Linked DNA regions of Caenorhabditis elegans. The protein of the gene in region 2 purifies or fractionates together with the protein of the main gene of each other region. This does not show direct contact. Each region holds a gene or a part of one and is shown on either strand. Other genes may lie near its edges. The genes, in order: mel-32, rcat-1, F13B12.4 and C25E10.8.

Region 1 (8,980 bases), on a different chromosome or scaffold from region 2:
CCCGTGGAGCCGTAGAGGTTGCCTGGTTTGCTCATAGTCCGTCAGACTTAGAAACCCACTCATCACTTCATGTGCTCTTTGACTACCTGTCGAACACTTCTGTTGCTCCACTTCAAAAAGATTTCATCCTTCTCGAGGATCCACTTGCAAGCTCCGTTTCATTCCATATTGCAGAAGGAGTTCGTTGTGACCTGCGTTTGAACTTTGCCGGAGTTCCTGTTGAGAAACTTGACGAATGTGCTCCGAAGTTTTTCGATAAGACGGTCCGTGAGCATTTGGAAGAAGCTAATTTCGATATGGAACGAATGGGATATCTTATCGACCAAACTATTCTCAATGAACTTGTGAAGCTTGAGACAAATGCTCCGAAGGATATTATGTCACACATTATTGGACATCAATTGTTCGACAATGAGGATGAAGAGCTATTCAAGAAAAGAACAAATGAAATTGATTTTCTCAAGAAATTGAAATCAGAGCCAGCTTCATATTGGGTTCAGTTGGTCAACAAATATTTCACTGCTCCAAGTGCTACTGTAATCGGAGTTCCAAATGAAGAACTAGTTGATAAGGTAATAATGGAAAATAGAAACCGGAAAAATAATAAAATAATTTCAGATCGCTGAAGAAGAAGAGAAGAGAATAGCAGCCCAATGTGAGAAGCTCGGCAAAAAAGGACTCGAAGAAGCGGGAAAGAGTCTGGAAGCTGCCATTCTTGAGAACACTGCCAATCATCCAAGTGCTGAACTTTTGGATCAATTGATCGTCAAAGATCTTGAAGCTTTTGATCGTTTCCCAGTTCAATCCCTGACTTCAAACTCACCTTCTCTTACTCCTCAACAATCAACTTTCTTAGCTCAATTCCCATTCCACGCGAATCTTCACAACTGTCCAACTAAATTCGTGGAAATCTTCTTCCTGCTAGATTCTTCAAATCTGTCAATTGAAGATCGTAGTTACTTGTTCCTCTACACAGATTTGCTTTTTGAATCTCCTGCCATGATCGATGGAGTCTTGACATCTGCTGATGATGTTGCCAAACATTTCACGAAAGATCTCATTGATCACTCTATTCAAGTGGGAGTCTCCGGTCTTTATGATCGATTTGTGAATCTTCGTATCAAAGTTGGAGCTGACAAGTATCCATTGCTTGCGAAATGGGCTCAAATTTTCACTCAGGGAGTCGTCTTCGATCCTTCAAGAATTCATCAATGTGCTCAAAAGTTGGCTGGAGAAGCTCGTGATCGGAAGAGAGATGGATGTACTGTGGCATCAACTGCAGTAGCTTCAATGGTTTATGGAAAGAGTATGTTATTTCTATACTAAAAATTTAAGTGCATTCATATTTTACAGATACCAATTGCATTCTCTTCGATGAACTTGTGTTGGAGAAGCTTCATGAAAAAATATCGAAGGATGTGATGAAGAATCCCGAAGCAGTCCTTGAAAAGCTTGAACAAGTTCGTAGTGCTCTTTTCTCAAACGGAGTGAATGCTCATTTTGTTGCTGACGTTGATTCAATTGATCCGAAAATGTTGAGTTCCGATCTTTGGACCTGGGTACAAGCTGATCCAAGATTCGGACCTGGACATCAATTCTCAGCTGAAGCTGGTGAAAACGTATCACTTGAGCTCGGAAAGGAACTTCTCATCGGAGTTGGTGGATCCGAGTCTTCATTCATCTATCAAACAAGCTTCCTTGATGCTAACTGGAATTCAGAGGAGTTGATTCCAGCAATGATCTTTGGACAATATCTCTCTCAGTGTGAAGGTCCATTGTGGCGTGCAATTCGTGGAGATGGACTTGCCTATGGAGCTAACGTATTTGTGAAACCCGATCGGAAGCAAATCACTTTGAGTCTCTACAGATGCGCTCAGCCAGCAGTGGCTTATGAGAGAACCAGAGATATTATTGTAAGTAGAAAAAAATAAGTTTCGTTAAAATAACTTTAAATTTCAGCGCAAAATCGTCGAGAGCGGTGAAATCTCCAAAGCAGAATTTGAGGGAGCAAAGAGATCAACTGTGTTCGAGATGATGAAGCGTGAAGGAACTGTGAGTGGAGCTGCAAAGATCAGCATTCTCAATAATTTCCGTCAAACTCCCCATCCATTCAATATGTGAGTTTACTGAAAACATTCTAAGACTAGGAAAGTATCAACTTCCGCGATTTCAGTGATCTGTGTCGCCGTATCTGGAATCTGACATCGGAAGAGATGGTTAAGATCGGCGGACCACCACTGGCTCGTCTTTTCGATGAGAAGTGCTTTGTCCGTTCAATTGCTGTTCATCCATCAAAACTCAATGAGATGAAGAAGGCATTCCCAGGAAGTAGCAAGATCAAGATTTCGGACTTGCAGTTTGCATGCTAGTTTGCCTGTTCTTTTATATTCTTATTATTCTTCCATCATTTCCCCGTTTGTTGGCTCTGGTTTTATTTATTTCTTTCGGTAGCTTGTTTTGTTAAATAAAGTTCTGGTCTGATTTGAATTAAACACAAATGGAAAAAAGTCGGTGAACGTTGCATTAAACAGCTACCCCAAACATCACTGTGAGAGAACTGTAGAAGGGTCCAGATGTGTGCGGCATTCAGAAAATTCAGCATACGGCTTATGCCAAATGCCGTAGATAATCTCAATTGCTTTCTAAATATAAAAAAACAATTAAATTTGAAAAGATCAATATTTATTTCTCCTGTTTAAAATTCAAACATGAAAGTGATAAAATGGCGGGAATGTTTTTATAAATACAAATGCAATGTTGATAATGACGATGATGATTAAAATTAGAAAGTTTCGTTTCCTGGAATCTCGAACTTCGTGGAGAACTCCTCAACACGTTTGGCGAGATCAGCGACGTCTTTCTTGAATGGTTCATTGGTCTCAGTGAATGATTTGAAGTCTTTCAATGTCTTTCCAGCCTCAGCATTGTACTTCTTTGCGATTTGAACACCTGAAATCAATATTTTAGATTAATGTTGAAGATTACAGTTGAAAAAACATACCCTCATGAATGAAATCTCCGACTTTCTCGAAATCTTGCTCCTGGAATCCACGGGAGGTGAGAGCTGGAGTTCCGAGACGAATGCCTCCTGGTCTCAAAGCAGAAACGTCTCCTGGGCACGTATTCTTGTTGCAAGCAATATGAGCGAGATCAAGCACATGCTCAGCACGAGCTCCTTCAACTCCGATTGGGCGCAAGTCAACAAGCAACAAATGATTGTCGGTTCCTCCGGTTGCCAAAGCATATCCATGCTTCTTCATTCTCTCGGCCAAGGTTTTGGCATTCTTCAACACTTGCTCTCCGTACTGAACAAAATCTTCAGAAAGGCATTGTCTCAAAGCAACGGCAATTCCAGCAATAGTGTGATTGTGTGGTCCACCTTGAAGTCCTGGGAACACGGCCGAGTTGATCTTCTCCTCCAAATCATACAAAGTGTCAACTCCCTTTGCGTTGGTAGATCGGACACCCTTTCTGTAGAAGATCAAAGCTCCACGTGGTCCTCTGAGCGACTTGTGCGTCGTTGTGGTTACAACATCAGAATACTCGAATGGTGATGGGATAAGTCCAGCGGCAACAAGTCCGGAGATGTGAGCCATATCAGACATCAAATAGGCTCCAGCCTTTGTGGCAATCTTACGGAAACGTTCATAATCGAGATGACGAGCGTAGCAGGAAACTCCGGCAATGATGGCTTTTGGACGGAAAAGCATTGCATTCTGCTCAAGCTTGTCATAGTCGATCAATCCAGTTGTTGGATCAACCTTGTATGGAAGAGACTGGAAGAATTCAGAAGTCGCAGAGACTTTGCGAGCTGGGGTGAAGAATCTGAAATTAAATGTATAATTCATTCGAGTCTAATCTAGATAACCTTACCCATGAGTCAAATGACCTCCATCTGGAAGATCGAGGCCCATAATGCGTCCATTGGATCCAACGATGGCAGTGTAGACTGCGAAATTGGCTGGTGATCCGGACAATGGCTGCACATTGACTCCCCACTTGGCTGGATCAAGTCCGAATACCTCAAGAGCTCTCTTCTGGCAAAGGAGCTCCATCTGATCGATGAACTCATTTCCTCCGTAATACCGAGCTCCAGGGTATCCTTCACTGTATTTGTTGCACATTGCCGAGCCAAGAGCATCCATAACAGCCTTGCTTGTGAAGTTCTCGGAAGCGATGAGCTCAAGTCCACGACGCTGCCGCTTCTTCTCCTGAAAAAAACAAATGACTAAGATTTGAGAAACATTAAGTCTTACATTTTTCATGATATCGAAAACTTCTGGATCAACTTTCTCAACATGGTCCACCAAAATGTTCTCGTTGTTGGTGTACTTGTGGCGCTGAACTTTAGCCAATGGTGTGTGCACTTGACGATCAGCCATTTTACACTGTAAAACCAAATTAAATTAAGCAAAGAAGCGAAAAAATCGGGAACATATTCAACACAAAAGCTGACGCGTTGGCAACACGTATATGCATGGGAAAGTGTGGAGAAAATAAGAATAAAACTGGATTCGCGGTAGGCTATGATGATATCTGAACCGGGAAGTTTTCGAGATTGGGCGCATCCCGGATCGTAGATCAAAACTGATAAGTCAAAAGTTACTCATTAGAAATTGTAATTAAAGAGGTATTCGAGCGTGGTTTTAACAAGTGTACACTAACTTAGTAATAAAAACAAAAAAGTGGTCTCTAATAACAAAAATATAATGCAGATAACTTTCAAATGCAAACACAAAACATTGCTACAGAAAACTATGCAAAGAAACCATTTAAAACAAGTGCAAACGATACTGCAGCGTGTACATGTGTTATTCAGAACTGCAAAAAGAAACAACGGAGCAAGACATTTTCACAGCTTATGGTAAAAATATACGCGGAGAAAATAGAGAACTACGATTATCAATGCAACATCACAGAGATGATCATTAAAAATAAAAATAAAGAAGTGAATAGAGTTTATCAGTTACCAAGTTGTTATCAAAGCAACAAAAGCGGCGCCTGTGGGTCAATGTCAACGATATTTCTATTGCTGGACAAGTCGGAGACAAGCCCGAGATAACTGAGTGAAAGGCGGAAAATGGCAAGATATTATGATGAAGATCACTTTCTGATCAGAAACAACGAGTGAACCATGGACGGTGCCGTTTTGGGAATGAAAATGGGGAGAGAAAAGCAAATTGCAACTTTGAGCGGGCAAAATTTTTACAAATTCAAATATTCGCGCCATGCGTATTTTACAACTGATCCCACGCGAAAGTGCACACACAAACCTGGGAGCTGGCTCCGGCAAATAATCCAGTTGCTGCTCTTCTGCTCACTATCCTTGCAAACATTTTGTGCCTGAAAATATTAAAATAACAAATAAAATTCTAGAACTTCAGAATAAATGTGTTAAAACAGAAATCGACTATCGATCAGACCACTGATCGTTATCAGTCTTATCAGTTTCTCTGTTTTGTTGCAAACAAGAGATGAAACTTGCCGTTTTTATTGCGATTCAACAGAATTTAAAGACTGATAGGTGGAAATGAGCGGACCGTTGATTCAAAAAATTAATACGATTTTATCGGTTTTAAAAGCAAAAGGTCAAACAACAAACTACTTATTTATTAAAAAAATTTTCAATTAATTTTTATAGACCCGAAAGAGTTCCATCGCTCAATGATCCCGTGATGACTGCAAGTGATTCTTCACTTTGCCCTGCTTGCTTCAAAATTCGATTTTGACGTTTTCGTGCAGCATCTTGGATTTTCCTAGCTGATTTTTGCTCTGAAGTCTCCGTCTGCAAATATTGCCGTCTTCTTGCTGCATCACGCTGTCGCCGATTTTCAGCTTCCTCTGGTGTTTCATTCTTAATAGCATCCCGACGTCTCTGAGCATTCTTGGCTCTACGCAATTCAGCTTCTTCTGGAGTTTCAGCCAGGAGACTCTTCCTTCTCCGTTCCGCATCCTTATTCCTTCTTTCCTGAGCTTTTTCGAATGACTCCCTTTGCAGATACTGGCGTCGATGCTCTGCAGCCTTTATTCTTCGATTATTTGCCTGATCTTCCGACTCTTGCATTCTTTCCATTTTTTTTCTTTCAGCTTGCCTTTTCAATCGTTCTCTATATTCTTCTTCTGTCTCTTCTGAGCATCTCTTCCTTTTATAGTCTGCAGCCTTGGCAAGACGTGTGTGAGTCTCCTCTGATGTTTCACGAGCTCTTCTCAGACGTTTCCGATGTGCTTCTTTGGAGAGTCTGCATTCTCTAGATCCTTCTTGAGGTTCGGATGAACTTGGAATATCCGTAATATGAGGTCTGAAACTTAAAAAAAATTTTAATATGCTATTTACTACTCTTACTCATCACTTGAACCAGGTAAAAATGTTGCTATAAAATTCTGAATTGTTTCTTCTAGGCCAGCATTTTGTGGACTTTCAGATTTATTCCCATTACTCTTCTCATCTTCTTCTTCGTCTTCGACAATATTTTTGCAATCTTTTCTACTCATTCTGAACTTACAAATATACATTAATTTTTCAGAAAACTTGAAAATCTACATTACTAAATACACAGACAGAGGTTTTGCGACTCCTGCGCCAAGAATACGGTGCCGATTCTCGACACGACATGTTTTAGTTAAATGAGAAAAACTTGTGCGCCTTCAAGGAGTACTGTAATTTTTTAATCTAGTTGGTGTGGAACCGTTCATGATTTTTCATACTTTTCTTACGTTCTGTTAAAATTCGTGTTTTTTTTTGAGTTTTCAATAGTTAAGGATGTTTTTCATCGGAATACGATGGAAAATCGATGAACATTCCGCAACTACAAAAGTTTGTAATTAAAGTACTCTCCAAAGGTGTGCACCGTTTTGAAATTATCACATTAAAAAAAATATCATGTCGAGACTGGGTACCGTTTTTGGCGCAAAAATCTCAAAATTACGCGTCGGAGTAATAAGAAAAATATAAATAAGGCTCAAAGAAAACAGGAGAATCGATGACGGCTTTCTGTGTGTCTGTGTGTCTTCATATCTTCATTGTCGGTGTTTCTGTGTGTATGTCTGTCCAGAGACAAACATACACGAGCGCAGACGTCTTGTTTGATTATCTGCGTCTCTTCTTCTATACAACACTTTGCAATCTTTTCAGAAAAGGATACTGTAGTGGGATGAATGTATATATGTACCACAATTATGGCAATATTGAAGCTTTTCCGTTCAAGTACACACTAATCAGAAATCTATTCATTTGGTTTGGATAAAAATGTAATGGCATTACAAAAGATGGGGAACACGAAAATGAGAGAAAATTGAGAGAAACCGTTGAAGAACAGAAATACATAATCTACGAGTCGATAGTGGCGAATAAATAAGTACAAAAATTATACACAAACATAAACGAGAAGCTAAAGGATTCACATTCCCTCGTATTTTGGGCCACCACCTCCTTCTGGTGTAACCCAGTTAATGTTTTGTTGAGGATCCTTGATGTCGCATGTCTTGCAGTGAATGCAATTTTGAGCATTGATTTGGAGACGCTTCTTTGATTCATCAGCTTCGGATGGGACGAATTCATAGACTCCTGGAAAAAAAAGTTATTTATGTGTTTTTAAAAGTCAAATTTGTATTAAAATCTCACCAGCTGGACAGAATCTAGCCTCCGGGCCACCATATACTGCCAAATTCACATCAAGTGGAACTTGATCATTTTTCAATGTCAAATGAGCAGGTTGATCTTCTGTATGGTTGGTTCCAGTAAGAGATACAGATGTAAGAAGATCAAAAGTTAGCTTTCCATCTGGTTTTGGGTAATCGATTTCTTTTGCATCCTTCACTGGAATGAGCTTCTCATTATCCTTCTTTCCGTGTCCAAGAGTCCATGGTTCAATTCCTCGACCGAAAACATAGAATATTCCAGAATAGATCAGTCCTCCAATGTATCCCAATGAAGTATTGAATGATGGACGAATATTTCTGGTTGCTTTGAGCTCTTTAACAACATAAGTATCACGAATATTCTTGTCATATGTAGCTGGATCAATCGTTTGCACATCCTCTCCCTTTTGTTGAATATCCTCGAAAATTGATTCAGCAGCCACCATTCCACTTTTCATTGCATTATGAGTTCCCTTCAGTTTAGCGACATTCAAGAAACCAGCTGAGCATCCAACAAGACATCCTCCGGGGAAATGAAGCTTCGGGATACTTTGGAATCCTCCTTCATTGAGAGCTCGTGCTCCGTACCCAATTCGTTTTCCTCCTTCCAATTGTTTAGAAATCGATGGATGAGTTTTGTATTTTTGGAATTCTTTGTATGGATTGAGATTTGGATTCGCGTAATCAAGAGCAACAACGAAACCAACGGAAACAAGTGGTTGTCCTTGATCCTCGATATGGTACAAGAAGGATCCTCCGTATTGATCAACATTCTGAAAAATCATTTTTTAGAGATTAAATTCTAGAATATATCTTTTAATCTGAAACACTCAAAAAAAAAGCTCACATTTTACTAGATTTTTCAATTTTTCTTAATTTTTTAGATCTTCAGAAACTTACCAATGGCCATCCCATAGTATGCTCAACATAACCAGGTCTATGCTTTGCTGGATCAATTTCCCAAAGTTCTTTGAGTCCAATTCCATAAGTCATTGCATGTGTTCTCAAATCAAATTTATCGAGAACTTGCTTGCTCAAATGTCCTCTACATCCTTCAGCGAAAATTGTGCATTTCGCGTGGAATTCCATACCACGAGCAAATCCATCTTTCGGTGCTCCATCCTTTCCAATTCCAACGTCACTTGTGGCAATTCCCTTCACACTTCCATCTTCATTGTAGAGCACTTCAGATGCAGCGATTTCTGGCCAAACTTCGACTCCAGCTGCTTCAGCCTGCTCGCCGAGCCATTGAACGACCTTTCCAAGACGAACAATATAGTTTCCGTGATTTGCAAGTGGAACTCCAGGTAGCACTGGAACTGGAATTCGACCAGATTCAGTG
Region 2 (7,979 bases):
ATTATTAAAATTCATTTCGAAAAGCGATCCCGTAAATCGACACAAGCGCTACAGTATATCTTTAAAGAACTACTGTAGTTTTCACGAGATATTTTGCGCGTCAAATATATATATGTTTTTCGATACGCATTCTCAGAATATTGTTTTGAGCTGGAAATATTCTTGAATGTGCCTGATATTGATAGGCTTGTAAGTGCTAACACTCTTCTTTATAACCACAAAAAAGCATTTGAGAAAAAACGACAAAACTTATTACTTGGCCTAATAAAATAGTTAATCGTAAATTAGAATTACATTCTACTGATTCTATGTTGTTATTTTCGTTGATCTTTCACTTTTATGTCTCTCTCAATGTGGAATCCTAGTTTCTTGTGTGTTACCTTCTTCCCCTTATCAATCACCTAAATCGGAGAAAGAGGTCAGCGCCCTCATTTTTTTCATCCGTTTTTCGATTTTCTCCATTTCATTTGATCAGTTTGTTGAGTACACTCCCTAAAGTTTTCCTTATATTTCTTGTTTTCAATACTTATTATTGCAGAATGGAACCGTCCAACATATGGCGGACGTCTACCATCGTTGGTAGTGTTGTTTCAACATTTGCAGTTCTTACAGTAATCATTGGACTTCCACTGATGCATAATCATGTTCAGAAAGTAACAACTCTGATGTTAACAGAGGTAGAGTTGTGTAAGGTGAGAATATTGATGCTTTGCCAGGAATAAGCCTAGATATTAAGACCGAGTCTCAAGACATCTGGAAACAAATGAAATTCTCTCGCATGGCACCAAACCGTACCAAACGTCAGTCTCCATACGGTAACTATGGAGCTTCAGGGTCAGGATCCTGCTGTGCTTGTACTCAAGGATCACCTGGACCACGTGGACAGCCAGGAGACGACGGAGAACCTGGACGTGACGGTTTCCCGGGCAGAGAAGGTGACAATGGTATAGCTGGAAAGTATCTACCAGCTCCACCACCAGGAACCAACGCATGTCAGAAATGTCCAACTGGAGCTCCAGGACCACCAGGACTTCCAGGTAAATTTGAATTGCATCAGGAAATAAATTTAAAAATTTGATTCAGGACCAAAAGGACCACGTGGACCAGCAGGAATTGAGGGTAAACCAGGGAGACTCGGTGAAGACAATCGTCCAGGACCCCCAGGACCGCCAGGAGTACGTGGAGAACCTGGATCACCGGGAGAGAAGGGACCAACCGGCGATCGTGGAAAAGTATTGAATGGAGCACCACCAGGTCCTACTGGCCCACCTGGAAAGGTCGGTCCACGTGGATTGTCTGGCGGAAAAGGACACGATGGTAAACCAGGACTTGGTGGGCAACCAGGTGTCCGAGGAGCCGTTGGAGCACGTGGAGATGCTGGAAACCCAGGACTTCCAGGACCACAAGGACCAAAGGTATGTTTCCGATATATTTTCGAACATTTTGAAATTAGTCATGACTTATATATGAAAGAATATAGCACGTATGTCTCCTTTGTAGTTTGTAGTCTGGATTTTGAAAAATGTTGTGTCTTTGCCTTTTGAAGGGATATTGGTTTGGAGTTAGTAGAAGGATATGGTCACGGTACCGTAGTAGTACTGTAGGGATACTGTAGGAGTACTGCAGGATTACTGTGGTTTGGGAAAATTCAATTTTCGTCTTTTGAAAGGATATTGGTTTGGAGTTAGGAAGGGGATAAAGTCAGGGTACTGTAAGATTACTGTAGGTGTACCGTAGAGTTATTCGGCAGGAATTTAAATGTTCTTAGAAAACGGCAATTCAAATTTAGTGAGAAAAATTTTGGCGAGAATTCACTATTTCTGAGAAAAAAAATTTTGGCGGGAAGTTCAATTTTTCTAGAATAACTGGAAGCTCCTAGAAATTCTAAAAAAATCTGGAGACTTCAATTACTTTTTTTTTAAGTCCTAGAATATTCTATTAAAAATCAAAACTCATATAACTTTCTTAAAAAATCTGGAAGCTTCTAGAACTTTTGAAACATTTGAAAACTTTTAGATTTAGTATTAATACATTTGTTATTGAACCAATCATGTGTTTAACGGAAACAATAATTTCAGGGAGAACCAGGAAATCCAGGAACGTGTCATCACTGCCAAAACAGAGCACCAGCACCTTCCGAGGCACCAGGAAAAGCTCCACCTCCTCCACAAGACTATACCCGTCCAGCACCAGAGTCGTATCCATCGGCTCCAAATGGGCAATATCTTTGGATCCATTAAATATTTTGCATAATTTTTGACTCATTGTTTCTCTTTTCGTCTTATTTTTCGCCGAATGATTCGAATGTGAGACTTGAAATATCATAAATCTTGTCAGGCAGCTGTGCCGAAAAAATTGTTTTTTAATCTACGAAAATATCGAAATTGTTTCCCGTAAATCGACAAGGGGCTGAGGTTTCTAGACCACACGGCCGTGTACTCCTCTCGGACAATGGATTAATTTTATCTGCTATAATTTTATTTTTCGATTTTCACACGTTTTCCAGTCAAATTTCGTAATATTTCATAATTTTTTATCATTTAAGACTCGAAAATGTCGATAAACTTCACGAGGACACCAAGATTATTACTTGACACAGTAGGTAATTCCATTTTTCTAGTTTTTTTCGAATTTAAATAATTAAAGTTAATTTCAGCCCATTACTCATCATTCTTGGAAAGCACAAAGCTTGTAAAGACTCGGGAAGTGAAGAAACCACCCAGATATCCAAACTTTTCACTGAAAAAAGATACGAAAAGTGGGGAGATTGCTTACTTTTTGGCAAAATAACTTTATTTTAATCTTTTCAGATCAAAAAATGAGCCAGCACTTTGATTATCTTCTAGTATTAGACTTCGAAGCCACGTGTCAAGATAACTGGAAAGGGCCGATGCATCCAGTCCAAGAAATCATCGAATTCCCAGTGGTCCAGCTCTCGACGGCTGATTGGAGTGAAATTCGTCGTTTTCATCAATACGTTAAGCCGACGGAATGTCCAAGGCTCACATCTTTCTGCACATCTTTAACAGGAATTATTCAGGTTTTTAATGCAAAAATTTCGAGGAAAAAATGCTAAAATTCCAGGAAATGGTTGACGAAAAACCGACGCTTCCACAAGTTTTATCGGAATTTGATAGCTGGCTGAAAGAGGATTCTCGACTGGAAAAGGGCAAATTTGCATTCGTCACTTGTGGAGATTGGGATCTGAAAGTCGCGCTGCCGAATGAGGCGAAATTTAAGAATATTGGAATTCCAGAGTAAATTTTTTAGAGTAAAACTGACAATTTGAGGCTGAAAATTCGTACAATTTGACTCTAAAAATCTGAAATTTCATTAAAAAACAATCATTTTTGTCCCACGAACCGCACAAATCCAAACAAATTGTCCTTCAGGTACTTCAATCAATGGATCAACGTGAAAAAGGCTTCTGCGGAGCACACAAATCATTTCGCGAAAGGAATAGCCCAGCTTCTGGCCATCTACAAGCTGCAACATCAGGTTTTCTACTGAAATTCTGAAATCTCAGCAAAATTCTAATTTTCCAGGGTCGCCACCACAGTGGAATTGATGACGTGGCAAATATCTGCGAAATTGTCCGGTGTTTGGGCATGAACGGGCACAACTATCAAATCACAGGCTCCAAAGACACAATGACGCGGAGGGTGTTCAGAGATGCGAGGAAATAATTTTTGTCGATTTTTCAGCAATATGTATTAATACGAAATATTGACTTTTCCGCCATTTTTCCGTTCAGAACAATAAATCTTTGCAAAAAATATAGCGAGAATATCGAATTGCAAGTACAGTTTCACGTATACGTTTCTAGAAATTAGATTTTTTTGGAAGTTTTAATCTGTCAATTCTCTCCGCCATGAGGAAGTCTACACACTGAAGAAGTTTCGCCACTTTCTTCCCTTTTAAATTGATTTTTTAACCGCTTGAAAATATTCATAAAAAGTTTTCTCTCTCGGTCCAATCTGAAAAAAAATTGCAACTTCAGTTGTATTTAATAAAGCTTTATAAGACACAAAAAATATTATTTCAAACATCGCGCTTAAAGTTCTCTGCAATGGAGCGGACTTGCAGACACGCAACGCGAACACGCGACGCGTCGAAGTGACAGGATTTACGAGCGTAAATCCTACCAATCGTTTTAATTTTCTATTTTCCTCTGATTTTTGTCAATTTTCCATAAACTTTTAGAATTTAACGCAAAAAAATTCACAAAAGTGAATGCCAATTTTTCTGGAACTGATAATCCTTGAAAACACGTATTTTTCACTTCCGGATATAGAAATGTTTGAAAATTGCAGGAAATGACCACAAATCCTATCGAACTCGAGTCCTGCATTATTGATCAGATACGATGCCCAGAATGCGCCCTAACATGTCTACAAAAGAATATCTATCGTCACATGACACAGATTCATAATTGGACAACTGAAGATTGTCAGGAACTGATTGCCGCTATAAAATCTGAAAAAAAGAGCCGAGCATCTAGCACATCGTTTGTTTGCTGCCACTGTAGGATGATATTTCGAAGTGTCAAGCATCTGGTTCAGCATAAAAAGGTAATACAACCCTATTCTTCTGGAAAACTAAATATAAAAATTGGATCTTGCAGATGTGCACTGAACAACCGCAACATGACAACGAGCATCTTGATGTTTATATAGATGAAATGATTGTTGAAGGAGAAGAAGAAGTTGTTGGAATCAATGAATATGATATCAATGAAACTAAAGAATCTACACAAAAACCATCCACATCATCTGGAGATAGTTTCGAGATGAATATTCCGCCACATCGACAAGCTTCTCGTCCAATCCAGCCACATCATTTAACGCAGGAATGGTTGGAATTAGAAAAAATAAAGGTTTCTGTCAAAAACTATGATTTTCAGCCAAATTGCCACCATTATTGAAAAACCTTCAAAATTCTCGTTAATGCAACTACCAGGAAAATATCGTGGATGTAATTTAAAATGTCCCGAATGTTCGAGTACATCAGAGTCGTTGGATGAATTTTTACTGCATTGCCGTCAAGAACACATGTCCCATGATCAGAAGTTTAATTTAGAACGAGAGTTTTTCCAATCAAGAGACCAGTTTAAGGTTTTTAAATATTCTCGATAAAATGACAAAAATCTAATTTTAGGAATGGTTCGATCAGAGACAGGAGGACACATGTACATCGTTGACAAAACGTACAGGACATGCTGGAGAAACACTTTATAGGTGTCATCGTGTCGGAAAGTATCAAAGTGTCGCAAAATCCAGGAAATCGAATCCCAGGAAGATTGACCAGACTTGTACAGCATATTTGAAAGTAAAACATTTTTTAAAAAATTTGTTTTAAAATTTTGAAAAATATTTCAGGTCACAACAGAAGAGGACGGTTCAACTTGGGCAACTGGATGCTTTACTCATATCGGACATGATCTTGATCACAAACTTCTATGGCTCACCGAATCTCAGGAAAAATATGTTCGTGAGCTAATTGACTTGGGATGGACTTCTGATCAGATCTTCTTCTTTATTCGGAATGAGTACAAGGACTACGAGTGTAAATTAAAATATATCTCAAAGAATGATATTAGGTGAGGGTAATCATCCGAAACAGTAGGCAAATATAATGTTTTTTGCAGAAATATCACAGTTCGGTACAATAGAGAACGGGAGAAGCTTGGTTTTTTAACGGACACTGCAAAATCTTCTGCGATTCCGATTAGTTTGAAAGAGCGGCGAGCCGTTGCTGCAGATAGTACGAAAGAACCGAGAGAAGAAGATGATGATGAGGTTAAGGCGAAAATTCCAAGGATGCAAAGCAAACCTGATAACATTGAAAAGGTTTACAGACGGTTAAATTGTTCTGAAAACTCAAAAATTGAATTTTCAGGCAACTACTTCAGAAAATAATTCTGCAAAACATCGCGAACAAGTTGTGGATTCAGAAACTGCGGAAGAAGATGAATATATCAACGTAGTTGATGTGGATACGATGCCACCAAACGATGCTGGAAAAATCACAATTGGCTTAAATTTTTAGTCGATTTAATACATTTTTGCGATATTAAATATGTTGTTCTTGTTATTTATTCATATCATGAAAGTTTATTAGATAATTCAAATCGAAAAAGAGTTATATCTCAAATGCCTGACAATAAACGCTGTATGCTGATGGCTGAAAAAAATTTGGGCAAAAATAAAAAGTTGTCTGGTTTTGTTGAAAACGGGTAATTCATGTATGCTGAATTCAGAAAATCTAGGTTTAACACATCAAAAACTATTCAAAAGTGGCAAAAATGCACAATTTTGAAACTCCTCTAAAATGGGCAATTTTGTAGTTAGAGGACTCAAAATTGATCTCCCAATACTAAAAAGTTTCCCTTTTTCAAATTCTAATGGTTCTGTACAATTTCAAAAAAAAAAATTTCTTGCCCAAAAAAAGGGCAGTCATATATTATTTGAATATTGTCCAAATTTGTTGAAAACGGGTAATTCATTTATGCAGCGTTCAGAAAATCTAGGTTAAACCTATCAAAACCATTAAAAACTGGCAAAAATTGGGCAATTTATTGTAAAAAATCACTCTATTGAAACTCCTCTAACCGGCGGCAGCCGATGTCGAAAAATACAAAACACCTGTCGAAAAATGTAGAAAAATATATTTTGTATTTTTCAATATCACATGAATAACCCCATTACTTTTTATGTAACTGATATGTCATGTTAGCAGACCTGTAGCATTGTATAATCGGATATTTTAAAAGGTTGACATTACATTTTGCTCCTTACAAAATATGGAATAAAATATGTGTTGTTAGCATAATTTTGAATGTTCAAATCTGATTTTATAAGCGCAAACTACTGTCCGCATGATTATGGGTCACACTGTATCTGGAAAATGTGCAAATATTATAAAACAATTGTTAATTTATCTTAAAAATATGCGGTTATAATGCGTGTGTGTTACTCGATGTGAACCAGTATCCAGTATCTTAACATGGAATAATCGCAAGTGTCAATTGACGGCTTATGCCAGTTTTATCGTATGTTCCTTTTTCCACAAATCTTTATCTTGTAGCAAATTGTGATAAGAAACTATTAGGCGATCAAGTAACTCAAACAAGAAAAACGAGTATAACACCAGGCTATGAGACATATATAATCTTTTTGAATCCAGCAATAGAACATCAAAAGTACCCAATGTTTCTCAAGTTACTTTTATTTTTATCTATATGCCACGTTGCATTCGCATTTTTCTTTCCAAGAGTCACACCTAATGATGGATGTGGTTGTGGATGTGGAGGAGGTGGAGGTGGAGGAGGTTGTTGTGCACCACCACCACCACCGCCGTAAGTTTCAATATATTAAATTAAACTTAAGTACAAGATTTTCAGAGTGTGTGGCGGTTGTGGCTGCGGAGGCCGTAAAAAGAGAGAAATCGGACATGTCAAAGGACACTTGGCACATAGAGATAATGATCAGGAATGGAATAATCAATGCAACAGCTTAGAGTTTTCGGATGTAATAGTAAAGGTAGTTTTGAAACATAAACAGTTAATTGCAACTACCACTTTTTCAGCATCTCCGAACGAAATCATTGTCGACATCTCGAGATTTCATTTACAAAGAACTTGACACAGCATTCCCAGACTCAATGTTCACTGTATTTTGTCTCCAAAACTCTACTGTTTCATATCAAGCAGATGCGAAGAGATACTGTATGGAGAAGACAGCTGACAGGAGTTGTTACGTTTTTGAATTTTAATTCAGTTGATTCATATGCCCCAATAATAATGTATATTCTAATATATGAAGTCAAAAATTTTATTCGGTCGACTTGATGGAAGCACCCGCGATGGGGTTTGGTGAAAAGTGAATATATTCACTTTTCATATATGAGAGAGGAAATATTCGATAAAACATTAAAAAAACGGGTGAAACTAGTCAGTACTCAGTACTATACTACAAAAA
Region 3 (8,418 bases), about 10 Mb from region 2:
TATGGATTTCAAAAATTGAAACGTTTAAAAATATAAGTCACATCACTATGTTCTGCGTTGGTTTCAATCAGCTCCAAAAAACGTCCAGGTTTGTCCTCCAGCGTACGTCCCTACAACCTCTGCATTTGCAGTTAGCAAATGAAAAAATGTTCACTTTTATTTTGAAAGTAGGCGCAATACAGGAATACCTCAAAGATTTGTAGTAACTTTTGAGTCTGTTGTATAATTGATAGCACGCTTCTAATCAAAAGTCTTATTTAGGGACTGTCAGTAAATGCTCGTCAGCACCTCTGAACTGGGACGTCATTACTGATTCTTCGGTACAATGCTGGTTCAAAGTACGCAATTTTCTTAAGATCCAAAACTTTCATGAAAATATAATTTCCAGACAAGTATGATACCTGTATTCTTATTCTGTTACATGTTGGTCTCAAGTGTACTCCTTGTGAATTTGGTTACCGCACTCTTATCGTATGTTATCAGGGCGTAATGGAAAACTCCAAGAATAGAAAACCCAATGATAAAAGTTGAAATTTCCAGGAAAAAGTATGAAGATATTGACAAAGTTTCACATATTTACTGGAAATATAAACTGTATAGTCGGTTGATTGAGTGAGTTCAACTGAGGAAGAAAAAAAGCAAGACACATTATTTCCAGGTATGAAGAAAAATTATGGATTCCTGCACCACTCTCGTTGCTCTTTTACATTCTCAAAACTTTTTGCTTTTTTCTATCAAAAATTCCAATCATTGGAGTTATACCCAATTACTTTATGAAAATTTTACACATTTTCGAAGGGAAAGTATATGCAAAAGAAAGGAGGAAAAATCGAAAATATGAAGCAGTAATGAATGGATTAATATCTAACCCGAATCGATGGGATGGTCCTACAGAAGATGAGAAAAAGTCAGTGGAATTAGTCAGAGAGCAAATGAGCATTTTGGTGAGTTTCCTGCAATATTTTTGTCTTTATTGGTTAACTGACACACGGTGAGCTATGTACACTCTAGTGTGAGACGTTCAATTTTAATTTTGATTATATCAGTAGATAGATAAATAAATTTTCGTAAAACTTCTATGGAAGAGCGGTTTTTGAAAGTTAATAGGGTTTTTGAGTAGGAGCCAATTCACCGAGCATTGGCTGAGCATCTAACTCGTGGGAACGTAGTTTTTAATTACCCTACTGTACCTAACATTTGAAATTTCTACAATTTTCAGGAAGCTGACCGTAAAAGGAAACGCCTCGAGACGGACCTCATTCGAACTAGATTTGAGGAGATTATGTCTGAAATTGAAAACACGAACCGGTTCAGAAGAATACGATCTCAAACAACGTTCTAGCAATTTCGCGTGGAATTTATTATTTTAAACGAAACATTCAAAACGTGGAATAATATTGCACAACTTGAAAGTTTATGGAACATTATTTCAAATAAAGATGTATATTAAAAACTATCTTTTCGTGTTGTGTTGTTTTAGTTTTCAAATAGAATATGTGGAATCGCTAAAAGTAAGTTTTGTAAGGTGATTGAAACTGGACACAAGGCGGGCGGGCGTTTTCATTGCTAAAACTTCAAAAAACAATTACAATTGTCGGCAGCATTTTTCATTGCAAATTATCTATTGTAAAACATTTTTGCATACTAATGTAATTTGCACTCAGATAGCAATCAAACTATTCGAGAAAGATCCGAATGAAGTTAACATATTGACTTCCTTAATGAGAACGGGAGATATTCCTAAATTTGTTTCCAAGACAACTAGAATGTACCGTATTCAAGTGAGTTAAAATTTTCGCCATGTAAGTAAAGTCCGCATTTCAGAACGAAGTTTGCAACAAAACTGAAATATTTCAATTTTCGATCGGAAATAAAGTTGTCAGCTGTCCTCTTTACGATGGGTTGGCTTTTCTTGACAATAATTCAACACATATTGTGCAATGTCCAACATATTGTGAAGTTTGCAAGAAAATGTTCATTTGTTCGAAAAGATCATTGACAGGTCAGTTTTTAGAACTTTGAAAAATCACAATTTCTGTTTTCAGGAATCATCTACACACCGGATGGTCGCAAAAAAGATTCAATTGATTTTCAATATGGTTTTCTTGATCAACCTGTTGTTCGCGGCGTCGACTGGTCAATTTTTGTTGTGTATATTTTCATATTTGCCTTATGTGCAAATATTATAACTTTTGCGTTTTCAGATAATTAAATAATAAATAGTTTATTCAATTAAACTTGAATACAGATCAAAGCAAGCACAAAACTCATGCACGGGAATAGACTTAATCACTGGAACTATGAGTTCTATTTTCGAAAAAAACAATCTAATTTAAAATTGATCAATTACGAACCTGTACAATACGGAGAGACACAAAAACACAGAAATGCAAAACAGTTAAACTTTAAAAGCTCCTGGACACATAGTGAGACCTTTCGAATAGAAATCAGAACCCGTATCAATTGATTCTTGAATCAGCTTTTTCCAACATTCCATTCCCATAACACCTCCAAACTTCTTGAAACTTTTCTCGACCCATTCGTTGTTAAGGTACGTACTACGGTAGAAATCTCCTGGGTCACAAGCCAGTGTAACAATCGTAAGACGATGCTTGATAGCAGATTTTCTGGCTCTGAAAATTGTGTTCATCAAGATTTGATAGCCAAGGTATACGCAAGGTATATTGATACGCTTGCGTAAACTAAACTATTAAAACATATTTTTTAACGCAAAAATTTAAATGTACTAGTAAACGCTTAAGTCGTCAAAAGACAACGAATAAATACTCTAGACGGATTAGTTTGCAATGATGTCAGTTTGAATTACTTACTTGTTCTGATAGGCTTTGTAAAGAGAAACAAGGAAGTTGAGTGATGTTGACGGTCCCACATTATAACCTTTTTCATCGAGAATTCTCATTGTAGCTACTGATGCAATATCAGGCATTTTCATGGCTTCATGGATTACATTTCTTGTTAAACTTGTTGTTTCTCCGTACCACACTGGTTCAATATCATATCCGTAACCAATTCCAGCAATCCCTGGAGGTGTCCAAATACCTGCACCAGATTGATTTGTGAATTTATGTCCAATTACATAATCGTAGAATAAAGAGTATTGAGAATCGGAGAGTACGACTTTTGTAGGTGCTCCATATCTAGCGACATATCTGCCAACTGACGAAATAGTTCCACCGGTTCCTGCTGAATGAACAAAGTAGTCAGGGATTTTGACAATTTGCTCTTTGTCCTTTTTGAGTTGAACAATAATTTCATGATAGACATTTGTGGACTCAAAATAAAAGTCTCCACTTTCATGGAATTCTTCAGCTTTTTCAGCGTTTCCAAATTGATTCATGTAGAATCCGTGGTTTTTGTCGGCGAATTCCTTAGCTTTTGCATTGCGAAGAGCCACAGGAACCTGAAACAAAGCAAAACTTACAATAATTTTTTTTATTTTTCTGCTTCTTTCTCGACATTTTCCAACTTTCTTAACAACGCTTCCCTCATCTTTAAAAATTTTAACGCGAAATTTCACACAATAAAAGTTGTTTCTCTATAAAGAAATTTTATAAGAAATTGGCGTTGAGTTGAATGAGAAAGTTTTGGGGTTAGAGTTCTTAAAAACTGGAAAAACTTTGGCTAACTCAAAAAATTGGTCAATATTAAATGAAAATTAAACCAAAAATACTGTATGTGACTCTGTGTAAGTAGAAGAAGTACCTTGATAATTTTTCCTCCGAAACTCTCAATTTGCTTGACTTTCTCCTTTTCCAAATTATCAGCAACGACAGCATAGTATGGGACATTGACTAAAGTACACATGTAGGCTTCAGCAGACCCAGTATTACCAGATGTTGAGTCGTAGACAGCGGATGTTTTTGAAGTCACTTTTCCTGGAAATTTTAAAATTTGCAGAAATTTTTTTTGAGAAATGTTATTTATTTAACGTTTCTGGACTAGCTTACTCATAGCTCTCATACTCATAGCTTAGCAGTAAAAAACCTGCAGAATATAAGTTTTCGCAGATACACTGTACTTCACCAATTAAATAACATACTAACCTTCTGTAATAGCCCAAAGAAGAAGAGCCCATGCAAATCTGTGCTTCAACGTTCTCGTAGCTGTGGCAGTTTCATTTTTGAAGAAAATGTCGGCGTTCGGGAAACCAGGGGGACTGAATTTTGTCATTGGTGTGTGTCCCATCTTTCGTCGTTCATTCCATAATTTTTGAATTGCTCCGAGCCTCCATTTTGCTTCATCTAAAAATATTTTATGTTTATTGAATTAAAAAGACCTTGAGAAAAAAAAAACTAACAATCAGGTACAGCATCCTCATTCGGAATTCGACTTTCAGAAATTTTTGTTATATCTTCTGCAAGGCAACTTGCGGATATGCTCAGAAACAGAGCCAGAAGAAGTAGTTTCATGGCTGAAAACGATGAATTAAATTTGTGATTGATGTATCAATTGGAATTTTCTTTTATAAGTCCGGGGTCACGCCCACAAGTACAGTAGGAAGATTGAAATTTCGAACGCAATGAAGAGCATGACCACGCCCACAAATTAATGAAAGAGCACAGTTTCCGGAGTCAAACAACTATTATAGTATACATGGTTCATGGAGTGTTTAGAAAGTGAACTTTATAAAAAACTTGAAATGAAAAGTAAACATTAAAAAAATAAGTGATGCGACTATTTATGAATCTAAGTTTTCTTTTTGCAAGAGTTCCGGTTTCAATGATAAGCTGATCAAAATTAAACTCATTTCTTATATGACTTGAAATGATACTCATTTTGAAATAGTGCTTCAAAACAAAAAATAATACCTGGACAATACAAAATTCTCTAATTTTTGAAATGTAGAAATTAAATTTTTCTTAAACTCTGCTAAATGTCATAGGAAGCTTTCTATTCAAAAAATTGCGCGTAAAAGGATATTTTCTAAAATAATATATAGTAAATTTAAGGTTGGTAAAAAGAACTGAAAGATAACTTTTTCATGAGACTGTCTGTCCGCGTGCAAGGCGATATATGCCTGCCCCGTGCCTACTGCCAAAATACACGATAATCCATTTTTAAGTTTCAGTCGAAATTTAAACGCTAGAGAGTTTCAAAACCTTCTCGGCAATTCGGCACCACTTTTATACAAACTTTCCGCACTTTTAATATATATAAGGCTCGAACATTTTTATTATATTGAATTTCCCATAATTGTTTAGAAATAAATCCGCCAGTCCCAAAATTGTTGCATAAATTTGGATATGAAGGTTATTTGCAAAACGATAAAAATCTTTGAAGACACTGAATAAACGAATAACACCCAGATTTGGATCTTCCTGTGGAGATTTGAAAGTTCCCCAGAAAACCTAAAAAACAAAAATATAAAATCATGGTTACAGTAGCCTGAGCTACCCTCCAAGTGTTCTTTTCCTTGCAACTAATGCTTTTAAAGCACAATAAAGATTCGTTCGTTAATTTCTTTGTTTTACGTATTTTGTTCAGTCCAAGTAAACCAAGAATCGGAGCTGATCACTGATGTCTGGTTGTCTCTAGATCAGTTTCTTGCCATTTTTCTAAAAATGTCAAGTCAAAAAAATTTTGATTTGAATTTAGATTCCGGAAACCGGAAGCAGTTTATACTAAGATGATTTGATTTAATTAAAACTACTACATACACTACGGCTTCTCAAATTTTGTTTCAAATCGCATCATCTTCTGAAATGATATCATTTTGAAGCGGTATACAAATTAAAATGAAGCATGTAGGTCAAATGATGTCATATCTTTCTTGCACCTTTGTCTTAATTCATTTTAAACTCATAGAAATTATTGAAGAGATTAGTCTGGAAAAGTATGATGTGTTACTGCTTTCAAACAAAAGATTTGCCAATTGTAAGAGAACAAGGAAATAAACAAAAAAGAACAATTTCAGTACGTCAAGAGGTTTAAATGTTGCAAATTAATTAATTTGATTGCAGAAAAACATCTGTTCGTTTTCAATCTAGAGTAAAGGTTTTAAATTTTGACTACATTACTTTCTAGAAATTTAAGAGTTTTTAAAAATTTAACTCAATTTTGTTCAGATTTTTCACCCGAAAATTACAATTTGTCGAAAACTATTTATACAAACACTCACAAAATGAGTTTAATTTATTATTTTTAAAAAGTGAAAATTTGTATATCCAAAAAAGGAAATCCATAAGTTGCTGAAAAAAGACAACTGCTGGGTTTTTGGCAAAATGCATCTCCCGAACTATGCGGACAAATATTTTTTGCCGCACATCTCTGGTTTGAACATTGAAAAAGCTCCAAAATTGCTATAGCCTCGAAAGAAACCAACCAAAAAAAACTTTGATTGAAATTTTTAAAAAATCTAAACTGTTTCATTATGATATTCGGTCATTTTTAATTTTTGTAAATGAACATATTTAGGAAAATTATTCACTGTTTCACATTTAAATTAAAAATAATTTACCATTACGTTTAAGTTATGGGACGCTTTGAAGATGTACAATCATATTTGTATCTACCGAGAAAGCTATCTGCGAAAAAAACGGAACTGTTCATTTAGCTCTGCCCTTAAAGAAACTTGCATCGATTAATAGATTTATATCTTGTTTCAAACAACCTTCAAACATTTTTAAGCCACTTTTGCTAATACTCATTTGTCTTTAAGTTTAAAATAAACCATGATGCGCGGGCGTTTTTTCAATTATTAAGAAGAGTGATGTCAGTTGAAGTTGATTTTTTAGGGCCTGGAACAAAAAAAATCAATTTTGAAAACTAGTGATGCGCATATCTATATATTTTTAACAATGTATGCATTTAATGTTTAATTCCTGTGAAAAAAATTGAACAAAAAAGGTACCAAAAATATTCATGCAATCTATTAATTCCAAAAATCTAATTTAGGAGCCGGTTGTTTGTCTATAACTTTCTCTCACCCAACTTTACGTGCCAAGCTTATTTATTTCGAGATTAGCAAAAATTTTATCAAACTTGAACCAAACTTAGACGCAGCTATCAAATCTTGCACCAGTTTTGACCAAGGTTCACTAACTGTTCAAATTGTAATTGCGGACTAGAAATTTGTCACATTCATCTAAATCGGTTCCACCAAATCTCGATGAATGCTCTGAAATGTGACCTTTAGATTTGATCGAATCATTTTTTTGCAGCATGATGCTCATTACCAAAAAATGTGGTGCCTAAAGTTCCATCACACTTTTCCAGATTTTTGCTTCTTATCGGAAATTTAAATTAAATCAAGAAACGCGCGCATTTCCTACTGTAGATAGATTAAGAATTGACATCATTTTGCTTCTTTTTTTTTTTTTGAAATCGAAAATAGGTTTCACCGAGCACTTTTAATCCTAATCTTACGAAAAATTTTGGGTTCAAAGGATAGTCATGGAAACTAGACAAACATAAAAGTGGGAGGAAGATTAAGAAAAACAATAGATTTGTACCTGATGTGCCAAATAATTATGATTAGGATAAAAGAAGAGGATGGAAACTACTAATAATTGTATGAAAAGAGAATGGATATAGATGAGAAGAACGGGTTTAAGCTTATGAAGAGATATCTGAAGAAGATAAATTGAATAAAACGGTGTGAACCCTTGATCTTATCGCTTTCAATAAATACTAGGTTGATATTAAATTAGAAAATTGGAAGGTATTAAAGTTGAGAAATCAAAAATCTATAGTCGATTTGATCTTTAAAAAAGTAAAATATTTTCGGAAAAATAAATAAGAAAATCTAATAATTTTGAAAGAACTATTTAATTAATTTTCTTACTATTAGTTTTCCCAAAATACCATGCCTGCTTCATTCTTACTATTTTTAATTAATAGCATGAGCATATAGCATGAGGTAACATTTTAATACCACCAATTTTCAGAAAATAGATAGTACGTAGGTACATAGGCAGATAGGCATGAGACAATCTAAAGCTTCACCCTACAGTTGTCTAGTTACTGAAAAACTCCATGGTAGTAATTTTACATTTTACCAAAATCCTAAAGACTCTAACAAATATGGAATAAACATAAAAAGCGAAACTTTATATGAATTCTGGATCCTTATCCCCATTCTGCTTTTATAGATTTTCCGTTATCTGGTTGACCTGGCAACATGATCGTGCCAATAGACACGTACATTTGCATATCGACCGTTTCTTGCTTGTAGACCCGTTCTTTCGATGAATTATGATGTCATTTCAAAGAATCTTTGGTGCACTGTTTGGTGGAGACGCACGTAGATTCTCACTTCAGTAAAGGTTTTCATGGAGAATCATCAGTTTAAATTTGGGTATTTATATTTATAATATTTAGTTCAACACGAGTAAATATTAAACACTTAATATTATTCATTGTTCAAAAAAATTTAGATAAATTGCCAAACTTAAAAAA
Region 4 (7,020 bases), on a different chromosome or scaffold from region 2:
GTCTTCTGAAAAGTAATACTCGGATGAATAACACATGCTTTAACTATGTAATGCAGGCTTACCATTGTTATTTGCAGATTTTCCGTGTTGGACAATGAACAGACTGAAAAGTGAACGACGGAGAACTCTGAGCGAATATTTGGGCGGTCTCAAGTAGTTACCGGAAGAGTGAAAAAGACGTTCTTTAATATATAATTATAAATGGAAATCAGCCAGAAATGAAATGATAATGACAAGGTTTTCATTTGAAACGAGAGGGAAAAGATATTCAAGAATTGGAAATTTAGAATGAGTTTCAGCCACATCTCATAACTTCACACATTCATTATGTTTGTTTGAAAAGTCACAAAGTTATAATGAAAATGAACATTTATTTATTAAGACACCAATACTGGCTAAAGAAGAAACTAAATTCTATTTCCCTTTTGCCAAAGGTATTTTTGAAAACACTGAATTTGATTCTAAGAACAGAAGTACTGTAAAGAAATGATAAAAGGTATGGCTTAGAATAAAATTGCATTATCTGAATACTGAATATGTGATGTTAAGCTTTCAGTACAGAACAACTTTTTTTATTGAAAAAAATGTAAAAATAACTTTATTGATAAAACCGTTTCCAAAACTGAGCTTATATACCAGTCAAACGGGAAAACTTTAGTTTAAAAAATACCTAGAAACTAGACAGGTGAATTGCGTTCAAAAATCATATATGATCTGCTAAATGTCAGCATAAAATGGATTCCTTGAAAAGTAATTTAGTAAAATCGTACCGGAATTCAGTGAAAAGTGATACAAGTTCGGAAGACAAAACGGGTCTCAATAATTTAGATGTGCAAAAAGCTTATTGACGTAAATTTTATGTATAATTATGGAAAGTACGTAATACTTTTTTGGTAACGCAGAATATCGAATAAATCTGCTCATGAAATTTTCTAACTTCGAAGTAAGTGCATTCTTAAAATCAAAGTTTTGATTCGATTTTTTTGGCAGAAAGGTATAACTCAAAAGTCCCGAAACAAAAAATATACATTTTGTTAACGGGCTTAAACAGACGCAGTTATTTAACTTCATAGTTCAATTCAAAAATGACGGCGGTCTCGAAAAAAAATTTGAGCCTCTCACTTTTTTGCATCATCGAAAATCTATTTCCTTTTGCGCATCGGTAGGTGTGAAATTTGAAGCGTCATTGAAAAGGTCAAGTTAAACGTTTTTTTGGCATTTCAAATAGTATAGACCTAAACGTATATATTATATTTGAATTCGTTTCATTTTTGAAGTAATATTGTAGTGAACTATAATATTGAGACATTCAGTTACGCACTATGTTTTGTCATACTTATTTCTTAGTATATGCATTTGATACAAAATACAAACTCGGAGGTTCAAAATTGTAGACTCGAGCATTGTCAGATGTGTATTTCAATAATTAACGTGTTTATAAATAATGAGCGAAATACTATGACGGCATGAAAACGTCATGTGTTTAAATAGAAAAACTAACAAAGGCGTCGAAAGTCAAAAGTTTCAAAAATATAAAGTAAAGGGAAAAATTAATTTCCTATAACTTTTGCCAAATTTTTTCTGGGACAAATGATATTGTGCAGAAATTGGCAGAACCTTTCTGACGCGTACCTATTGGTATTTATGAATGTGATTATTTTTATGTTTACGAGGTAGAAAACAATTGCAAATGCTCACGTAAAATAGCGTAGTCTTTCATTTTCCAGAATGTGCCTGGAAAAAACGCTGCTGTAAAAGAATCGTGATTTTTGAATTAAAAAGTTTTAAGCGTCTACGACATTTTCTAACCTAGACATTACAAAAGAATGATTGATCTTTTTTTGAATAATTTCCTTGCTTAAGTTTCTTATTTGTTTTTTGTGTGTATGTTCCTATATTAAGAAACCAAGTAGGGGATGAGCTCAGCTCTGCCACACGGTTAAATTTTTTAACGCATTTTTTAACGAATTTTTTTTCCAAAAAAATATATGATGCCAACATTTAAACTGTCTGTTTTTGTCGCTTTTGGAATGTTTATGAAACAACAATTGCCAATCCTAAAAAAAGTTTTGTGTGTAGCATCGAACCTATAAGACCAAATGAAATTCAATACTCTAGTGAGGTAATCTGTACCCAAAAACGAAAACTTTGTGTACTCCGATCGGACACAGTTTTCCATCGGAATGATATCACGATCACGGCATTGTTTGTGTTTTGTTCCAAAAAAGAAATATAAATTCGTTTCCATTTTTCCAGTTCATGGTAACCGAATGTTATTCTATTTGGCAATTTGTTGGTTTTTCTCAGAATATGAAATTCAACGATTTATTATCACAAATGTGAATACAAAATGTTCACTTTGGGCACTCCTTGAGTTCGGTGCATCTGTAACCGTTTCGGACAAAACCACTGGAACACTGGCAAACATTTACAATGCATTGTCTGGTACATGGTCTTGGTCCTGGTTTTTCACAAGTTGGCTCACAAGCGGTTCCGCATCGGAAGAATGTCTCATTTTCCGGACATTTGCTAGTTTCCTTGGTACAGGTGGAAATATCGACACATTTTCCAAGTGAATTACGCACAAATCCTTTCTTGCAGTCGCATGCGTTTTCAATACATTGAGCAGATAGACACACTTTCTGAAAATTAAATATTATAGGAGAACATGGAAAATTATAGATTACTGGAGTGTATCCGCATTGTGTCTCACAGTGATCATGGCATGCAACCATTTCCTCGTTGGCTCCACATGTCTCTGAAAAGTAAAATGTTTATTTTCCAGAAATATTTAACAATAATCATTTAAAAATAAACTTACTATTGGCAGCTGTCGCAGCAGCAATAAAACAGGCAATTATGACAAAAGTTCTCTAAAAACTCATTAGTTTTTGCATTGCTCTAATGAAAAAAAGAACGAACCATCACAGAAAGAAAAGTAATGCAGCAGTCTGATGTTTTCTTTTGAAATGACTCTATTTATTGTTCGAGAACACTAAATCACGCAGAGGACTCTAGTCTATCAAAACCGCCCTTTTGTTTGCCAGAGACATAGACATTGAAAAAAAACGATGACCAATAAATCCAAAAGATCAAACAGAGTTTTTTTTAGTTTTTCATGCCAGGAAAAATAATACTGATGTAACAATTGTGTTATCAATAATAGCACACAACTCCAGTTTCCTTCATCACACTTCTTTTTGAATTTTTTCCAATATTTGATGGTTTATTGAACTTGGAAATGTTTACTCAAAAACAAATTATTTTGGACAATCTTTCTTATCAATGCATCTGAGTCCATGACGAACGAAACCTTTGGAGCATTGGCAGACATTGACGATACATTGTTTAGTGCAAACTGTTGGATTTGGTTTCTCACAAGTTGCTTCACAAGCTGTTCCACAGCCAAAGAATGTCTCATTTTCTGGGCATTTTGTAGTTTCCTTGGTGCATTCAGATACTTCGACGCATTTTCCAAGAGAATTACGAACAAATCCGTCTTTACAGTCACATGTGTTCATGATACATTGCTCCGTGCAAGCTTTCTAAATTTTGAAACTTTCAGTAATGGGAGACACATTAAGTTAATTGTTACAGGGGTATATCCACATTGTGGTTCACATGTATTATGGCACGATACCAGCTCCTCATTGGCTTCACATGTTTCTAAAAAAATATTTATGATCTGGTAACCGTTCAAGTACCAAATCACATATATTTACTTACTTGTGGCGGTAGCAACAGCAACGATGCATGTGATTATGACAAGTATCCTCTGTAAGTGTATAATTTTTATATTAGAAAAAAAACTCAAAAACTCACCATTTTCACAATAACGAAGGGCAACCAACCGATGTTTTGCTTTTTAACGGCTCTATTTATTGTGCCGGAACACTAAAAAACGGCAGAACCGCCCTTTTTTTCGGAAGGGATGATACGAGAAACATGATAAGATCGAATGGGAGATATTATAGGTCTTCTCAATCTTTTGGAGAGAAATTTATCTTTCACCGGTCACGTATTTATTTTGTAAATTGGGCTCACAACAAAGGTTTAAAAATCTCGAAGAATTTGTATTCGAAAATTCAGAAAAAATCAGAAACACATTAAATCGAGAACCTTACGAAATTTCATTCCGACCAATGATTTTAATGAATCAATTCACTAGAAGATATCAATTTAAAACGTATCGCTTGGTGCAAATAGTTTTGGCTTGGCTCACTGGAGAGTATTTCGAATGTGTTTCATCCATAATTACCAACTTAACATTGTTTGGTTAACACTGACTTTTTGTATTCATTGTATTGCAACACGGAATAGTTCATAAGTTTTTTGGCTATTGAAAAGGAATACAAATATTATGTTAAAATTCGAATATTGTTATTTTTAAATTTTCTGAAAACATTAGCATGAAAACATCAATATTAAAATATGAGAAAAACAACTTTTTTTTTAATCATCGAAAATATTATTCAGTGGTATGTTGTGCAACACATACGTCCACAATTTGGCATGGTTTCTCCTCACAAGTCAGCTCCACAAGTTCACATTTTTCGTTCTCAGAGCATTCAAGAGTGCATTTGCCTGAATGAAAAATTTATGACTAGTATTATGTGCAGGTTTTCAGCGAATAATCACTGATGGTTAAATTGGTTAAAGTCTAGTAATAAATTTTGAAGCTTACTGCATTTATTTTTCTCCACACATTTTCCAGTTGCCGAGTCTCTGACGAGTCCTTTCTTACACTGGCAGACGTTTGTCATACACACCAAATCACATTCCTGAGAAACAATTTATGATCATACATAATCTCAACGTTGATTTACTGGATTCTCGTTATCACATGTCGGTTCACACGCTGAGCCACACGCCTTGAGCTCTTCATCGCCCTCACATTCCGGTTTGCGGATTGCTGGAAGTTTCCAAGAACCACTGGATATTTTTGGTTTCACTACACTTACGGATTGGCACGCACTTTGGATCAACTGAACAATCGTCTTCAGAACCACATTCCAAGTCACTGACTGGCAGTTCGCATCTGAAAAAATATTTTAAAATTTATAATTGGAAATATTAAAACCTATAATTATCAGGACATTTGATAGAACCACAGAGTGCGTCTGTGTGAGAAATGGGCATGTTTTCTGTGTTTTCTGAAAATAAGTCATTTGATTTTTAAATAAAACCTTGGTACTCACTAAGAACTCCAGATCTAGCAAAAGCAAGAAGAGCAAAGAAAATAAATAATTGAAAATTCTGAAAAAACACACTTTCATTTGTTGTAAGATATGAAGAAAAAACCACTCACCATTTTGATGAAAGAATTTCTGAAGAAACTTTCGGAGTGGGGAAGTTATGAGAAGGAAGCAATCATTGAAATAAAATTGACAGGCGTGAGACCGAGGATGAGTCAAAAGATTAATGACTTGGTGAGACCGGAGAGAGTTCAGCCGACCGGAATATTTCTTGAGTGCTGTTTTTTTAAGTTTAAAAATATGTTATTTACAAAATTACTTTCTACGAAAGTACGCCTGAGAAGAACAAAGAAGTAACTGTTTTCGGTTTTTGCTTGAATAGACTCAAAATGCGCCCTAGGCAAAATTTTGGTAATGAGAAATCTCAAAAATTATGCAATTTTTTTGAGAAGTCTTATTATGAAAGTTGCCCATTTGAGTATTTTTATTATATACAAGCAAAAACTCAAGACTGTTGGAACAGAAGATTAACTGCTGGGATGGGCTTTGAATATATTCAAAATAGCTCCAAAAGCCAGAAACTTCATAAAAATAACTCGCAAAAATACTCAAAAACTGTGTACAGCCGTTCAAAAATTTTTAACGTTGTTTCCAAATTGTGAAAAAAATAGTAAAAGAAACAAACAATAAATATTTTGTCAGCTAACAATCTTTGTTTAGAACAAACGACAATTGAGATACGCTGATCAGCTGCCAAAGTCGAACAATAGGTGTGATTCTAATAGATAAAACACGGTACTTTCCAGTTCCAATAATTCCAATACCCCTAAATCTAATTCATTTATGAGAAGTCTCCTATTGAAAATTGATAATTTTAAACACGTTTATGTGGTTAGTTTGCTCTCAAAACAGTTTGCTCCGTCGAAAATTTTTTAAAAGAAGCTTTCAGATAATAACTTTTTGATTATTCAAGTACAAGTTTTGGCAAGTCTACAAACTTCTTGACAATTCCCTCAAGCTTATATATAAAAACTTTGGCATTGTTTGTTAGAAATCGTTTGGTTATTCTGACATTTGAAAATTGATTTATTACACTGTATGAAATTCACAAAATTCCATCACAGTGTCGATTTTTTTAGCAAAATACAATTTGAATGATCTCTTGGATTGCTTCCTTCTGGACATGCAAAAATCTTGCAAGCGGGGCCAACAGGACATGGCTTGTTAATACATGGAATAGGCACAGGAATACATATGGATTGACCGTAACATGTTACAAAGTCACATGCATCTGGTAGTTGTGAATGTGAATATTTAGCCAGAAATATAAAATAACAGAACAGAAAAAGTAACTTCATTTCTATAAACTGAAGTGAATGAAAACAATCAAAAAGGAAAACATGGGAAAATGCATTGCGTGACTACGAAAAATAAAAGGAAATGTGCCTAACGAGAAGAAGTATAATTGAATTTTCTGTCTTGATAGTCCTCGAAAGATTTATCCGAGCAAATTGCCATCAACGGATCACATGTTTTATTTGGAAGACATTCTACTTTTGCAACTTTGCAAACTGTCTCTCCGTAACATTTCACTGTTGGTCCATTCAAACAAAGCCGATCGTAATCTTTCAAATTTAAATGAGTACTGAGAATAGTATAGGGACGGTTTTCCCGAGCCAATCTGGGTTTGTCTTCTGAAATTATTTGTTAGTCGTGGTAAAACTGCGTGTTTTGGAAAATGTAAAATAAAGTCATAAGTAATAGCTGAAGCCAATCAGAAATTAAATCAGAAGTTTTTCGAGCAAACAAAAAAAAACATTCAAAA

The links.
Region 1: the proteins of rcat-1 (region 2) and mel-32 fractionate together in Caenorhabditis elegans (co-fractionation; one large-scale study listed by BioGRID). This does not show direct contact.
Region 3: the proteins of rcat-1 (region 2) and F13B12.4 fractionate together in Caenorhabditis elegans (co-fractionation; one large-scale study listed by BioGRID). This does not show direct contact.
Region 4: the proteins of rcat-1 (region 2) and C25E10.8 fractionate together in Caenorhabditis elegans (co-fractionation; one large-scale study listed by BioGRID). This does not show direct contact.

The regions. Positions count from the first base shown.
Region 1 is NC_003281.10:6,437,480-6,446,459, forward strand, and holds mel-32 (Serine hydroxymethyltransferase), read right to left. Parts: upstream 5,337-8,980; coding exon 5,274-5,336; intron 4,389-5,273; coding exon 4,257-4,388; intron 4,212-4,256; coding exon 3,874-4,211; intron 3,826-3,873; coding exon 3,002-3,825; intron 2,950-3,001; coding exon 2,783-2,949; downstream 1-2,782. Other genes in the region: C05D11.1 (uncharacterized protein), read left to right, coding at 1-572, 619-1,306, 1,354-1,913, 1,960-2,117, 2,174-2,369; C05D11.13 (Vicilin-like seed storage protein At2g18540), read right to left, coding at 5,636-6,305, 6,344-6,492; let-721 (Electron transfer flavoprotein-ubiquinone oxidoreductase, mitochondrial), read right to left, coding at 7,398-7,564, 7,622-8,411, 8,539-8,980. UniProt on the Caenorhabditis elegans protein: Interconversion of serine and glycine.
Region 2 is NC_003282.8:251,764-259,742, reverse strand, and holds rcat-1 (C2H2-type domain-containing protein), read left to right. Parts: upstream 1-4,313; 5' UTR 4,314-4,316; coding exon 4,317-4,571; intron 4,572-4,624; coding exon 4,625-4,854; intron 4,855-4,903; coding exon 4,904-5,114; intron 5,115-5,157; coding exon 5,158-5,328; intron 5,329-5,378; coding exon 5,379-5,599; intron 5,600-5,647; coding exon 5,648-5,849; intron 5,850-5,898; coding exon 5,899-6,048; 3' UTR 6,049-6,124; downstream 6,125-7,979. Other genes in the region: dpy-9 (Nematode cuticle collagen N-terminal domain-containing protein), read left to right, coding at 540-692, 737-1,037, 1,084-1,415, 2,079-2,240; R02D3.8 (Exonuclease domain-containing protein), read left to right, coding at 2,554-2,602, 2,657-2,758, 2,811-3,040, 3,085-3,257, 3,393-3,498, 3,546-3,686; grl-19 (Ground-like domain-containing protein), read left to right, coding at 7,209-7,357, 7,403-7,541, 7,588-7,773.
Region 3 is NC_003282.8:10,442,373-10,450,790, forward strand, and holds F13B12.4 (Putative pyridoxal-phosphate dependent protein F13B12.4), read right to left. Parts: upstream 4,433-8,418; 5' UTR 4,431-4,432; coding exon 4,319-4,430; intron 4,263-4,318; coding exon 4,065-4,262; intron 3,897-4,064; coding exon 3,724-3,896; intron 3,422-3,723; coding exon 2,832-3,421; intron 2,634-2,831; coding exon 2,399-2,633; 3' UTR 2,213-2,398; downstream 1-2,212. Other genes in the region: F13B12.3 (Ion transport domain-containing protein), read left to right, coding at 262-338, 389-471, 541-612, 659-944, 1,220-1,342; F13B12.7 (Neprosin domain-containing protein), read left to right, coding at 1,722-1,781, 1,825-2,002, 2,046-2,212.
Region 4 is NC_003283.11:9,051,008-9,058,027, forward strand, and holds C25E10.8 (TIL domain-containing protein), read right to left. Parts: upstream 3,063-7,020; 5' UTR 2,926-3,062; coding exon 2,923-2,925; intron 2,874-2,922; coding exon 2,822-2,873; intron 2,759-2,821; coding exon 2,688-2,758; intron 2,643-2,687; coding exon 2,355-2,642; 3' UTR 2,255-2,354; downstream 1-2,254. Other genes in the region: spi-3 (TIL domain-containing protein), read right to left, coding at 1-5, 63-65; Serine protease inhibitor swm-1, read right to left, coding at 3,261-3,545, 3,596-3,666, 3,727-3,775, 3,823-3,825; C25E10.10 (TIL domain-containing protein), read right to left, coding at 4,469-4,584, 4,685-4,781, 4,827-4,912, 4,962-5,038, 5,081-5,153, 5,199-5,256, 5,309-5,311; C25E10.11 (INSulin related), read right to left, coding at 6,642-6,889.